Linked DNA regions of Rattus norvegicus. The protein of the gene in region 3 interacts with the protein of the main gene of each other region in a biochemical or structural test. Links are inferred from orthologs where the notes say so. Each region holds a gene or a part of one and is shown on either strand. Other genes may lie near its edges.

Evidence for each region.
Region 1: the proteins of Ccna1 (region 3) and Mybl2 form a complex in vitro, tested with the Homo sapiens proteins (2 studies listed by BioGRID, with this or other methods). The link is inferred for Rattus norvegicus from reciprocal best matches to the Homo sapiens genes CCNA1 and MYBL2.
Region 2: the proteins of Ccna1 (region 3) and E2f1 form a complex in vitro, tested with the Homo sapiens proteins (2 studies listed by BioGRID). The link is inferred for Rattus norvegicus from reciprocal best matches to the Homo sapiens genes CCNA1 and E2F1.

What each region holds. Positions count from the first base shown.
Region 1 is NC_086021.1:172,141,805-172,145,304, forward strand, and holds part of Mybl2 (myb-related protein B), read left to right. Parts: intron 1-200; coding exon 201-491; intron 492-1,966; coding exon 1,967-2,392; intron 2,393-3,230; coding exon 3,231-3,370; intron 3,371-3,500. UniProt on the Homo sapiens protein: Transcription factor involved in the regulation of cell survival, proliferation, and differentiation. Transactivates the expression of the CLU gene.
Region 2 is NC_086021.1:163,529,064-163,532,563, reverse strand, and holds part of E2f1 (transcription factor E2F1), read left to right. Parts: intron 1-2,629; coding exon 2,630-2,720; intron 2,721-3,043; coding exon 3,044-3,263; intron 3,264-3,500. UniProt on the Homo sapiens protein: Transcription activator that binds DNA cooperatively with DP proteins through the E2 recognition site, 5'-TTTC[CG]CGC-3' found in the promoter region of a number of genes whose products are involved in cell cycle regulation or in DNA replication.
Region 3 is NC_086020.1:141,383,301-141,386,800, reverse strand, and holds the end of Ccna1 (cyclin-A1), read left to right. Parts: intron 1-467; coding exon 468-672; intron 673-1,577; coding exon 1,578-1,691; intron 1,692-2,794; coding exon 2,795-2,928; intron 2,929-3,206; coding exon 3,207-3,258; coding exon of another isoform or gene 3,259-3,332; 3' UTR 3,333-3,448; downstream 3,449-3,500. UniProt on the Homo sapiens protein: May be involved in the control of the cell cycle at the G1/S (start) and G2/M (mitosis) transitions. May primarily function in the control of the germline meiotic cell cycle and additionally in the control of mitotic cell cycle in some somatic cells.

The sequences.
Region 1 (3,500 bases), on a different chromosome or scaffold from region 3:
AGTGTCATTTATGCATAAATCTCATTAGCCCCTGTCATGATACTAATATGTTTTCCAGTGTTCAGGAGGGTTGGAATGTCCCTCAGCCTCTGTTCACATGAGTTCTTTGGATATTTGATTGGGGTTATGTGTCTTTAGCTACAAACAACATTAGCACGCTATTTCAACAAAAATCTCCAGTGTGCCCTTGCGTCCGACAGGGAAGTCTTGTGAGCAGCTGGCCCCTGGCGCCCTCTACTGTGAAGGAGGAGGAGAGCAGCGAGGAGGAGGCTGCCGTGGCTACTACTTCTAAGGAACACAAGCAGGAGCCCGTCCCCACTGATCTGGGGGAAGTGCGCACCCCAGAGCCCCTGGAATTCCTCAAGCGTGAATACCAGGAGGAATCCTCCCCAGAAACAAGCCTGCCCTACAAGTGGGTGGTGGAGGCCGCGAACCTCCTCATCCCTGCTGTGGAGTCCAGCCTCTCCGAAGCTCTGGACTTGATCGAGTCGGTATGTTTGTTGGTCCCAGCAGGCACACAGCGAATAGCACTTCCCTTGTGAGCCGGCCCCCTCCACCGCCGCCATCCTCCTAGCATTTATTGAATGATGGGGGCTGCACAGCTCTGAGCAGTCTTTACCCTCCAGCATGGAGTAGGGTGAAAGGGCTTCCCAGAGAGAAAGGCTGAATTGGCGTTGCATAGCCAGATCTCACTGGAGAGAAGCCCCGAAGGGCCAGGAGTAACAAGACGGTTTCGGCTGCTCAGCCAAGGCCGTATACTGTTGTGATTCATGCTCCCTGCACGGCTTTTTCTGAGGAGACAAACACACAACCTGTTTACCCCAGATAAGTGGTGCTAAGGACAGGTGAAAGGAGCAAGTGCACACAGGTCTAGCATGGCAGACTAATAAAATCCTTAGACACACTGGCAGGTCCATGGGTGACAGGAAGACTGCTGCATGACCAGAAGAATGACAGACTCATAAAGGTGCTCTCCCTGGAGCTTCCGGCCCAACACGCATGCAACCCGCAGGGCAGCATCTCCTTTTTTCACCAGCAGTTATTTACAGCTTTAGAATCCTGGGGAGGGGCCTTGTGGCTCTTGTAACTTTCCTCTAGGAGGGACCGTGTCATTTCTGAGAAAATAGCTCAACAATGACTTTGCCTGCGAGCCTGTGGGTGGAGCCACTCCTCTTGGTTGTGACCTCCAGCTTTAGGCTCCGTCAGCCAGAAGTCCTCATGTCTAACTCTTCCAAGGTGAAGATCAGGGAAAGATGCCCAGAGCCTGCTCTCTATGCCCCCCTCCGCATCTTCCCCAGACATTGTTGCAGGATAGCTTCCTACCACCAAGGTAGATGCCTTCAGTCTCCAAGACCTCTGGTCTCTGAGGTCTCTGATCCCAGCTGCCAGCTAGTTTCCACTTAGGAATAAACTGTCCCGGCTCCGGCAAGTCCCCACAGCCACAACCTGCAGCTGAGCTCGATCTACTCAGGCCACATTTCCAGGATCAAAGTGGAACCTTCTGTTTTCAGAAAGCTTTGGGTAAGGAAAGACAGAGGGCATGTGGTTCCTGTTTGTTCTTAAGAGCTTAGCGTGGGTTCCTTGATGTGCGAGTGGGAAAAGGAGCTAGTGAGATGGCCCAGTGGATAGAGGTGCTTATCACCAAGCCTGGCCATCTGAAGTCACCCCCCAGGACCCACGAGGTAGGAGAGACCTAACTCCTTACACCAACGCATGTGTAGTGAGCTGACAAACATAAAGCAGCAAACGCATGTTTTCCCAGCCGGTTGCTATAGGCACTATAAAGCCATGGATGGGCAAGCATCCTGTTCAAGTCCCACTATGGTATGTAGGATGCTGAGGAAATGAATGTAAACAGTAGCGACTAAGTGGATAAGGGAGCAGGTTTGACACCGGTCTGTCTTCTTCCTGTGTTTAAATTAAGTTCTACCGTATTAGGAAGACCTTTAACCTCCCTTTCTGGCAGGACCCCGATGCTTGGTGTGACCTCAGTAAATTTGATCTTCCTGAAGAACCGTCTGCAGAGGGCAGTGTCAACAGTAGCCCAGTGCAACTCCAGACACCGCAGCAGCAGCAACAGCACCAGCAGGCACTGTCATTCCACCAGGCTGCCACACCAGGGCCCAGTGTGACTGAGTATCGCCTTGATGGCCACACTATTTCAGACCTGAGCCGGAGCAGCCGGGGAGAGCTGATCCCCATTTCCCCAAGCACTGAGTTTGGGGGCTCAGGCATTGGCACACCGCCCTCAGTGCTCAAGCGACAGAAGAAACGGCGCGTGGCCCTGTCGCCTGTCACAGAGAACAGTGCCAGCTTGTCCTTCCTGGACTCCTGTAATAGCCTTACCCCGAAGAGCACACCTGTCAAAACCCTTCCCTTCTCTCCTTCCCAGGTGTGTGGGCACCTCTGCCTACCTTGGCTTCCATACATAAACACATTGTGCCCGGTGAGGGCCTGGCGCAGGTACACACTAGATAATCAGTATTCGGTGGTTCTCTCCCTGTGCTCGGTTCTTGGGAACCAGTGGTGAGCAAAACCAGAGCTGGCCCTCCCCTTATGGAGCTAACACTCTGGTCTTCAGATCCAGATGGGTGATCACATAAAAAGGAAGAGGCTATGGGGCTGAAAGGGGGGCTGGCTAAGGTCGTTAAGTCATTCGTGGAAGCAACTGAAGGAAGGACAGCCTTATTTGGGCTTCAGGTCTAGGGTATAGTCCACCAAGGCTAGGAATTCGTGGTAGTCGGAGTTGAAAGCAGCTAGTCATACTACAGCCGGCCAAGAGGCAGAATGATGTCCCATTCGGCTTCCTTTTCCCTTGTCGGTCAGTCTAAGAACCCAGCCTGTGGACGGGCACTTCCCATATTCAGGTGGGTAATCCCACCTCATTTAACTGAACCTAGAAAAATACTTGGCAGACAGGCTGAGGCTTTTTCCCACAGTGACTGTGTAAACCATCAAGTTGATAACTAGGGATCCAGAACTTGTAGGGGTGGAGCTTCCATTGAGAAAGCTGAAAGGCCTCCCTGGATGCTAACAGACAGAAGGGCTGAGTCATGTTTGTTGAAAGAAGTCTTTGCTGGTGCCCTACAGGTTAGGACAAGACCTCAACCTTCCTGAACAAGCAGTCATAGGGAAGGGGGGGGTCTAAGGAGCTGTCCCTCCTCCCTGCAAAGGCCTCATGGACGCTTACAAAGGTCGCCTTGTCACATGTCTTCTCTCTTCCCTGGCAGTTTCTGAACTTCTGGAACAAACAGGATACCCTGGAGTTGGAGAGCCCCTCCCTGACGTCCACTCCGGTGTGCAGCCAAAAGGTGGTAGTCACCACACCCTTGCACAGGGATAAGACGCCCCTGCACCAGAAGTATCCATCGTGAGTCCCACAAGGCCACCTGTCCACCCTGGAGGATGGGGAGGTGCTCTGGTCGGGTGGGGGGTGGCTGCCACACCCCTGCCCTTGTCTAAAGAGCCTGGTCTTAAACATCTTTGTCCCTCACTTGTCT
Region 2 (3,500 bases), on a different chromosome or scaffold from region 3:
TACTCTGCCAGTCCCCAGTCTTCAGAACTTTTGTTTTTAATAGTTCTAAAAGTTGCTGTGAGCCACGTGTGATGGCACCTTTATAATTCCAGCACTTAAGAAGTAGAGGTATAAGGATCAGGAGTTCAAGGTTTTCCTGTGCCTGATCCATGTTCAAACAGTACGTCATTCACATTGCCCAGAGGAGGTAACAGTCTGCCCTGGCTCTCCCACAGAAGCGCGCCTGTTTCTGAAACACACTCTGTCAGAAACTGAACTGGAGCAGCTCCTGAGCTTTTAGTCCAGGAAGGGACCATATATGTATTAGCCTGTCAGAGTGGTTTCCTTGTGTGTCTGTGAGAGCATTCTGTGCTGGCCTGGACCTGTCTGGGTCTGTTACTGAGACCACATGCTGTTCCAGGGGCTACATACAGCCTTTGTGGATGGGTGTTTGAAGCACTCAGTTATCAATATCTTCACCTGTGGTTTTTAGGATCTCAGTGTTGTCTAAAGATGAGTGACAGAAACACCATCAATCTGAGCCCTACTTTAAGGATGACATTGGAGATGGGCAAGGGCATCTGGGGCTGTGTCAGCCCATTGGGGTGCATATACCTGGATTTCTTCCTGGCTACAGGTCTTCCAAGGTGGAGACTGCCATACCTCCTACAGTCAGACAAAAGTTTGCTGAGGAAATGTTTGGGATTTAGTCACCGCCCTGCTCTCGCACAGACAGCAGAGGCAGTGTCTGCCTTTTTCTCATCGTCTCACTCTCATGTGCTGTCCTTTTCCTTGGCTTCCAGGAGTTGGTGGCAGGATGATGGTGGGGAGTCTTGGCGGACACTGAGGCCTGTGGCAGACACTGATGCAGGGGTTTATTGGTCCAGTGTCCAATGAATGACCTTTCTCCGGTGGAGGCAGTGGGCAGGGACAACAGACACATCTGTAGAAGTTGTATTGGATGGAGGAAAAGGCCAGGTTTGAGGCAGTACCGAGAGAGGACAGCAATTGCTCTCTTAAGCAATCGTGCAGGAGCCAGCTTCAGGTGTGTGGAGAGGGCATAGAATAGCGTTAGAGCAGGGCTTGGGAGAAGCTCATCCCCACAGTTCATGTGAGGAGTGCTGTTGGAAGGCTTTACTGAGGCAGAGTGATGTAGAGGGAGACCAGCATGGGGACAGCTGTCCTGTCCGGTGGGAGGGTGATAATGGCTGTGGGTAGAATTCTTGGCAAAAGAACGTGACAGGTGGTGGGTCAGGTTGAGAGGGTTTAGTTGAGAAAGGCCCGTGACTGGTGAAGGATAGCAAGTCTGGTCCGGTTAGTGTGTTTTGAGCTATCTGTGGGATTTCGGGGTCCTTCCCGTCACTGTGAAGTTAGAACTTAGGTTAGAGGGCATGGAGGTTAGCAGCTCAGGGTCTTTCTCGAAGACCTGGGTAGGGATTGTGGCTCTGCCACTTCTCTGTGGTCTTCTATGTAGGTTGTAAAGTGGAGGGTTGTGGTGTTGTCAGTTCAAAGAGCAGAGTACACTGAACACAGAGCAGTTGGTGAGCTCCAGCTGCTGCCATGGTTATAGATACGCAAATGAGCTAAAAGCTAGAGGCGGGAGCTGCCTGGGGGACCCAGACCCTCCCTTGGTGGCTGGAAGCACTGGTTGTATAGTCTCTGTAGGTTGGGACTTGAGGGAGATTTAGCTAGTGCTTCTAGCCTGAGGTGGAGTCCTGTTCCGCCAGAAAGGTCCCAGGCTGTAGTCAGAAGTGAGACTAAGGTTGCAAGCTTGCCCTGTTCCTCCTCACCTGGAGGAGGTCTCAGCTCTCTTGTCATAGGGGCTTATCCCCAGGGCTACTTGAGAGCATGGCACAAAGCTGTCTCCCTCCCCGTCACTTCAGAAGAAGCATCACTGTTGTAGTGACCAGTCTCAGAAGGGACACTTATCACTCTCGGCTTGCTTTAAGGGGGGAAAGTTAGCAAATATCTTTGAAAGCGCCAAGTCCTGGTGGCATGTGCCTGTAAGCCCGGTACTTGGGAGGTAGAGGCAGGAAGATAAGAAAGAAATTCAAGGTCATCTTTGGCTACATAGTGCCAGCCTGGGCTAAATAGTGAGACCTTGTATTTGTAGGAACTAAGGAGACTAATTGGTAGATTGTGTGGTAGCGTTCACGAGGCCTTTATTTTAACCTCTAGCATTACAGTGATGATTTGTATGTATTTAAAAGCCACCAAGCTGGTGAGATGGCTCAGTGGTTAAGAGCACTGACTGGTCTTCCAGAGGTCCTGAGTTCAAATCCCAGCAACCCCATGATGGATCAAAACCATCTGTAATGGGAATCTGATGCCCTCTTCTGGTGTGTCTGGAGACAACTACAGTGTAATGATATACATAAAATAAATAAATCTAAACAAAATTTTTTAAAAACCACCACCAGCCGTAATGTTGGACCTAAAATTTGAACCCAGGTTTTCAGCCTTGTACTTGACTGATTTGTGTGATAGGGTAATAAATAACCCCATGCATGTCCCTCAGGATCTGTCTCTCTTCGCACTCCTAGGCATCATAACAGAGAAGTAAGACTGGGTTTTGGGTATCAAGCCCTTAGCTAAGTCTTCTGTGGTGTCAGTCCTGGTTTTGGGGCATCTTCCTGTGTTTCTGCTACAGGTGAAACGGAGGCTGGATCTGGAAACTGACCATCAGTACCTTGCTGGTAGCAGCGGGCCATTCCGGGGCAGAGGCCGCCACCCAGGGAAAGGTGCCCATTGACTCCAGCTTCTCAGTCCCATACTGGGGGAGGGGCGTGGACATGGTTGTACACTCTGGGGCCCCAGGAGGTGGCTGGAATGGCTGCCTAACAGGACTTCCTTGGGCCTTGGAGGTGGGGAGTTGCCCAGCTACAAGAGGAATGCTTTGGTTGGCAGACAACAGCCACAGAGCCTTTCTGTTTGGCTTGACTAAGGGGAAGGAGCCATTTGCCTCCTGCCTCATCTTGCCACTCCACATTGCTAGGGAGACAGGCCTGTTGGGGGCAGACTGAGTGTTTGAAGAACCCTGCCTAGCCTAACCCCTGCCCCCCAGGTGTGAAATCTCCAGGGGAGAAGTCACGCTATGAGACCTCACTAAATCTGACCACCAAACGCTTCTTGGAGCTGCTGAGCCACTCAGCTGATGGTGTTGTTGATCTGAACTGGGCAGCCGAGGTGCTGAAGGTGCAGAAACGACGCATCTATGACATCACCAATGTCCTGGAGGGCATCCAACTCATTGCCAAGAAGTCCAAGAATCATATCCAGTGGCTGTAAGTACTCATCAGGCAGGTGGGCAGGTGGCAGCCAGACCAAGCCAGATTGGCTTACAGTGGCTTCCTGCATTCCCAACAGCTGGGAAACCAAGGTCCAAAGAGAGTTACCTTCCCTGGGATGATAGAAGGGGAAGAACACACAGGTCTTGCAGATCCAGTTCCCTATAGCTGTAGGTTTCCTATACGTGTGTGTGTGTGTGTGTGTGTGTGCGCGCACGCACACATGCACACACA
Region 3 (3,500 bases):
AATTATATTGTTATTTTTCTCTTGGTGATTCAGTATCCTTTGCTAACTAATGAAGTTGAATAATTTAATATGGTCTTCAGAAACAAAACAAAGCACAGCTAAAGCCACCAAAGCTATGGGATTGTTTTTTTTCTGTTATTGGTTTGATCCTAACATTCTTCTCACAAAGTGACCCAATATCTATTCAACCAACAGGGATCCAGCTGAAGCATGTGTCCTTTAGACCTAGTCAGTGTTTCAAAGTCCCCAACCTGTCACAGTTCCCAGCAGTTAGTATACCATACCCTTGCGGTACTCTCGCGGACTGAGAAAAAGCTCACAGTATGTTTATAGCCCACACAGTTCTCTGATGGTTCTGTGGCAATGGCAGTATAAAGTGAATAAGCCTCCAGGGCCATGCGAGAGGACAGGAGCTAGAGACGACCGTTCCAAACTTTCCCCCTGATAATTCCTTACCCGCCCCCCAGGAAATACGAAGAGATATACCCGCCCGATGTCGATGAGTTTGTCTACATCACTGACGACACGTACACAAAGCGACAGCTACTGAGGATGGAGCATCTGCTGCTGAAAGTCCTGGCATTCGATCTGACCGTTCCAACCACCAACCAGTTCCTCCTTCAGTACTTAAGGCGGCAAGGGGTGTGCATCAGGACTGAGAATTTGGCCAAGGTATGCCACAGGACTTCTGGGGACAGCCACCTTTCCAACCACCTTCCACGCCCATCCCTCCCGGGTTTCCATCTCTGTAGAGGTGAAAGGCAGTTGTCTTAAAAACACGATGCCTGCTCACCAGACATTGCTGTTGATGGTACTGGCAGGTCCCAGTCACGTAGCTCCCGACTATCAAAGACTCTTAAGCACGGTAAGCTCCCTTGAGAGATGCAGACCGCAGGCGAGCAGCGCCTTTTAACTTGGGAGCAAGGTAAAACGTGGCTGGGTTTTGTTTGAATCTTATTCTAATTCAGTAAGAAATAAAGCAGCACGAAATCTGCAGCCATTTTGATCTAGAGGCACTTAGTTGGAATTATTAGCACTCTGTCCTAGCCAGTGAGCTTGCCATGGGAAATCTGTGAAACACACGCTATTCAAAGAGTAATAAAGATGACCACAAAGATTTCCCTGCATTCTCCTGACACGTCTCCAATGGCATTGCTTGAGCTTGAGAACTGTATCAATTTGCCTAGCCATTGCTAGCTTCAGTATGGCTGTTTCTTTGCCTCCTGGCTAATGACTCTTTCTATTTGAGATGTGAGCTCAATACTCCCTTATCTGACCACCGTAAAGCCTGATCTACTAGATAAGAGAAGTAACCTATCACATATGCCGTGTGGGTGAGATAGGGTATGGGAACATCATCACAACACAAACATTAGTCAGTCGAAGGACAGTCAGAGCAACTATGGAACTAGGAAATATACCTGGCTTAAGTTTGGGGCTCATCATTAGATTCTGAGGGAATGAAAATAAGGAACCAATTGGTGAGTTTGGCAATTCCAGGTTTACTGACAATTTTAGTCAAATTGGACCTTGCTCAAATTTCTTACTCCACTGAGATTTTTCTCTCTTGCCCTTAGTATGTTGCAGAACTGAGCCTTCTGGAAGCTGACCCATTCTTGAAGTATCTTCCTTCCTTGGTAGCAGCAGCAGCTTACTGTCTGGCAAACTATATTGTGAACAGACACTTCTGGGTACGTTTCTGTCTTCTTCCTAAGTAGAACACATTCAAAGTTCATACAAAATCTGTTCAGTGAGTTCAAGATTCAGAATGGACACAAGCCTTCTGAGGGAAAGTTTTTTTCATGATAGCTGGTTGTCATGGCAGCAGACCACAGCTTGTTTCTGAGTCTTCTAGATCAGTCACCATGGCTTTGATGCCATGGCTTTGCTCTGTGGGAAGCAGAAATAGCACGGAATCAGGAAGGCCTGGGAACCTCAGTGCCCAACAAAATATGCATAGAGGGCCTTGAGGCTTAGCCATTGGCCATGCCAAGCTAAAGTTGATCCTAGACAGCTGGAGTGGTGCACACCTATATTATAAGTGCCTGTGAGGTGGAGGCAGGAGGATTGTTAGTCCAAGTCCAGTCTGGGTCTCAGAGGGAGACCATCTCAATAAAACAAACATTAGTAGCATTCAGCTTCTGTAACAACGACAACAACAAAACCCCTCCAAGTTCAGTAATGACTGTTTCTTGCCTCAGAAGGCAGAAAGATCAGAAACAGATCCCTACATTTTATTCTAAATTTTCTCGGAGTGCTAAAAGAAATGAGTTATCTACTTTTATTTCTTATGATACTAGATAACTCTTTTAAAAAATGTATTTATCTGCATGCACATGTGTTTGTGTGTGTGTATGAGAGAGAGAGAGGCAGAGAGAGAGAGAGAGAGAGAGAGACAGAGAGAGAGAGAGAGAGAGACAGAGAGAGATGTAGGTCAGAGGAGAACTTTTCTCCTCCTATCAAGGGTTGTCTTTTGACTAGGGATCTCTATTCTATGCAATCTCTCATATTTAGTGTAAATTATTAAGAATCAGTGAAAGCCCCACCCACATAGGATCAAGAACAGTGGTCTGCCTCTACACTGAGGGTTACAACTATACTCCTGCCAGTTTAGAACCCAGGCTGTTTGGTTCTAGTGTAAGGTTTCTAAAGGAAGGGGTTATGAATCTTTCTGGATGGATATACTTGCTCACCAAGAATTTCACTTCACCCTTCACTTCATAAGCAGTTATGTTCAGATTTCTAACCTCTTATAAAGTTACGTGAAGCAAAATTTCCTTTTCGTTTCAATTAGCCAGAAACACTTGCTGCATTTACGGGCTATTCATTAAATGAGATTGTGCCTTGCCTGAGTGAGCTGCATAAAGCATGCCTCAGTATACCCCATCGACCGCAGCAAGCAATCAGGGAGAAGTACAAGGCTTCGAAGTAAGTGGGCACTCTCCCTTCCTTGCTTTCTGGGTTGTTGTGGAATCAGAACAACAAAAAGAAGTAGAATAAATTCTATCTTTCATTAGGTTGGAAAACAAGGTTGCTCGCTAAGTCAAGAAAAGACATTTAGGAAGATCTAGCTAGATTCACAGTTTGCCAGCGTTTGGCAGTTATAGTTAGCTGGCTTCCTTCTGACCCTTCAGACTGCTGGAGGTTTTCTGTAGCCTAACTGGCATCCTTGGCCCTGGGCTGACCTGGCTGTGCTCTCGTTTCAGGTACCTGCACGTGTCCCTCATGGAGCCACCCGTAGTTCTTCCCCTGCAGTGAACGGGTCAGCTCAACAGCCACACCAGCAGGCTTACTCTGACCTGTTACAGTTTTCTGCGGGTCGGGCCAACTAATGTCAGTTGTAGATGTCACCTTCAACATATGAGTGTTAGGTTCTTTTAGACGTCGGTAGTTTATAATTTATATAGATATAGACAGGTATTTTAAAAGAATAAACAACTTGCTGTGTGGCCATGTGTTGGGCCTCTTTACTAGTTGGCATAGCTGACACAACAGGCATC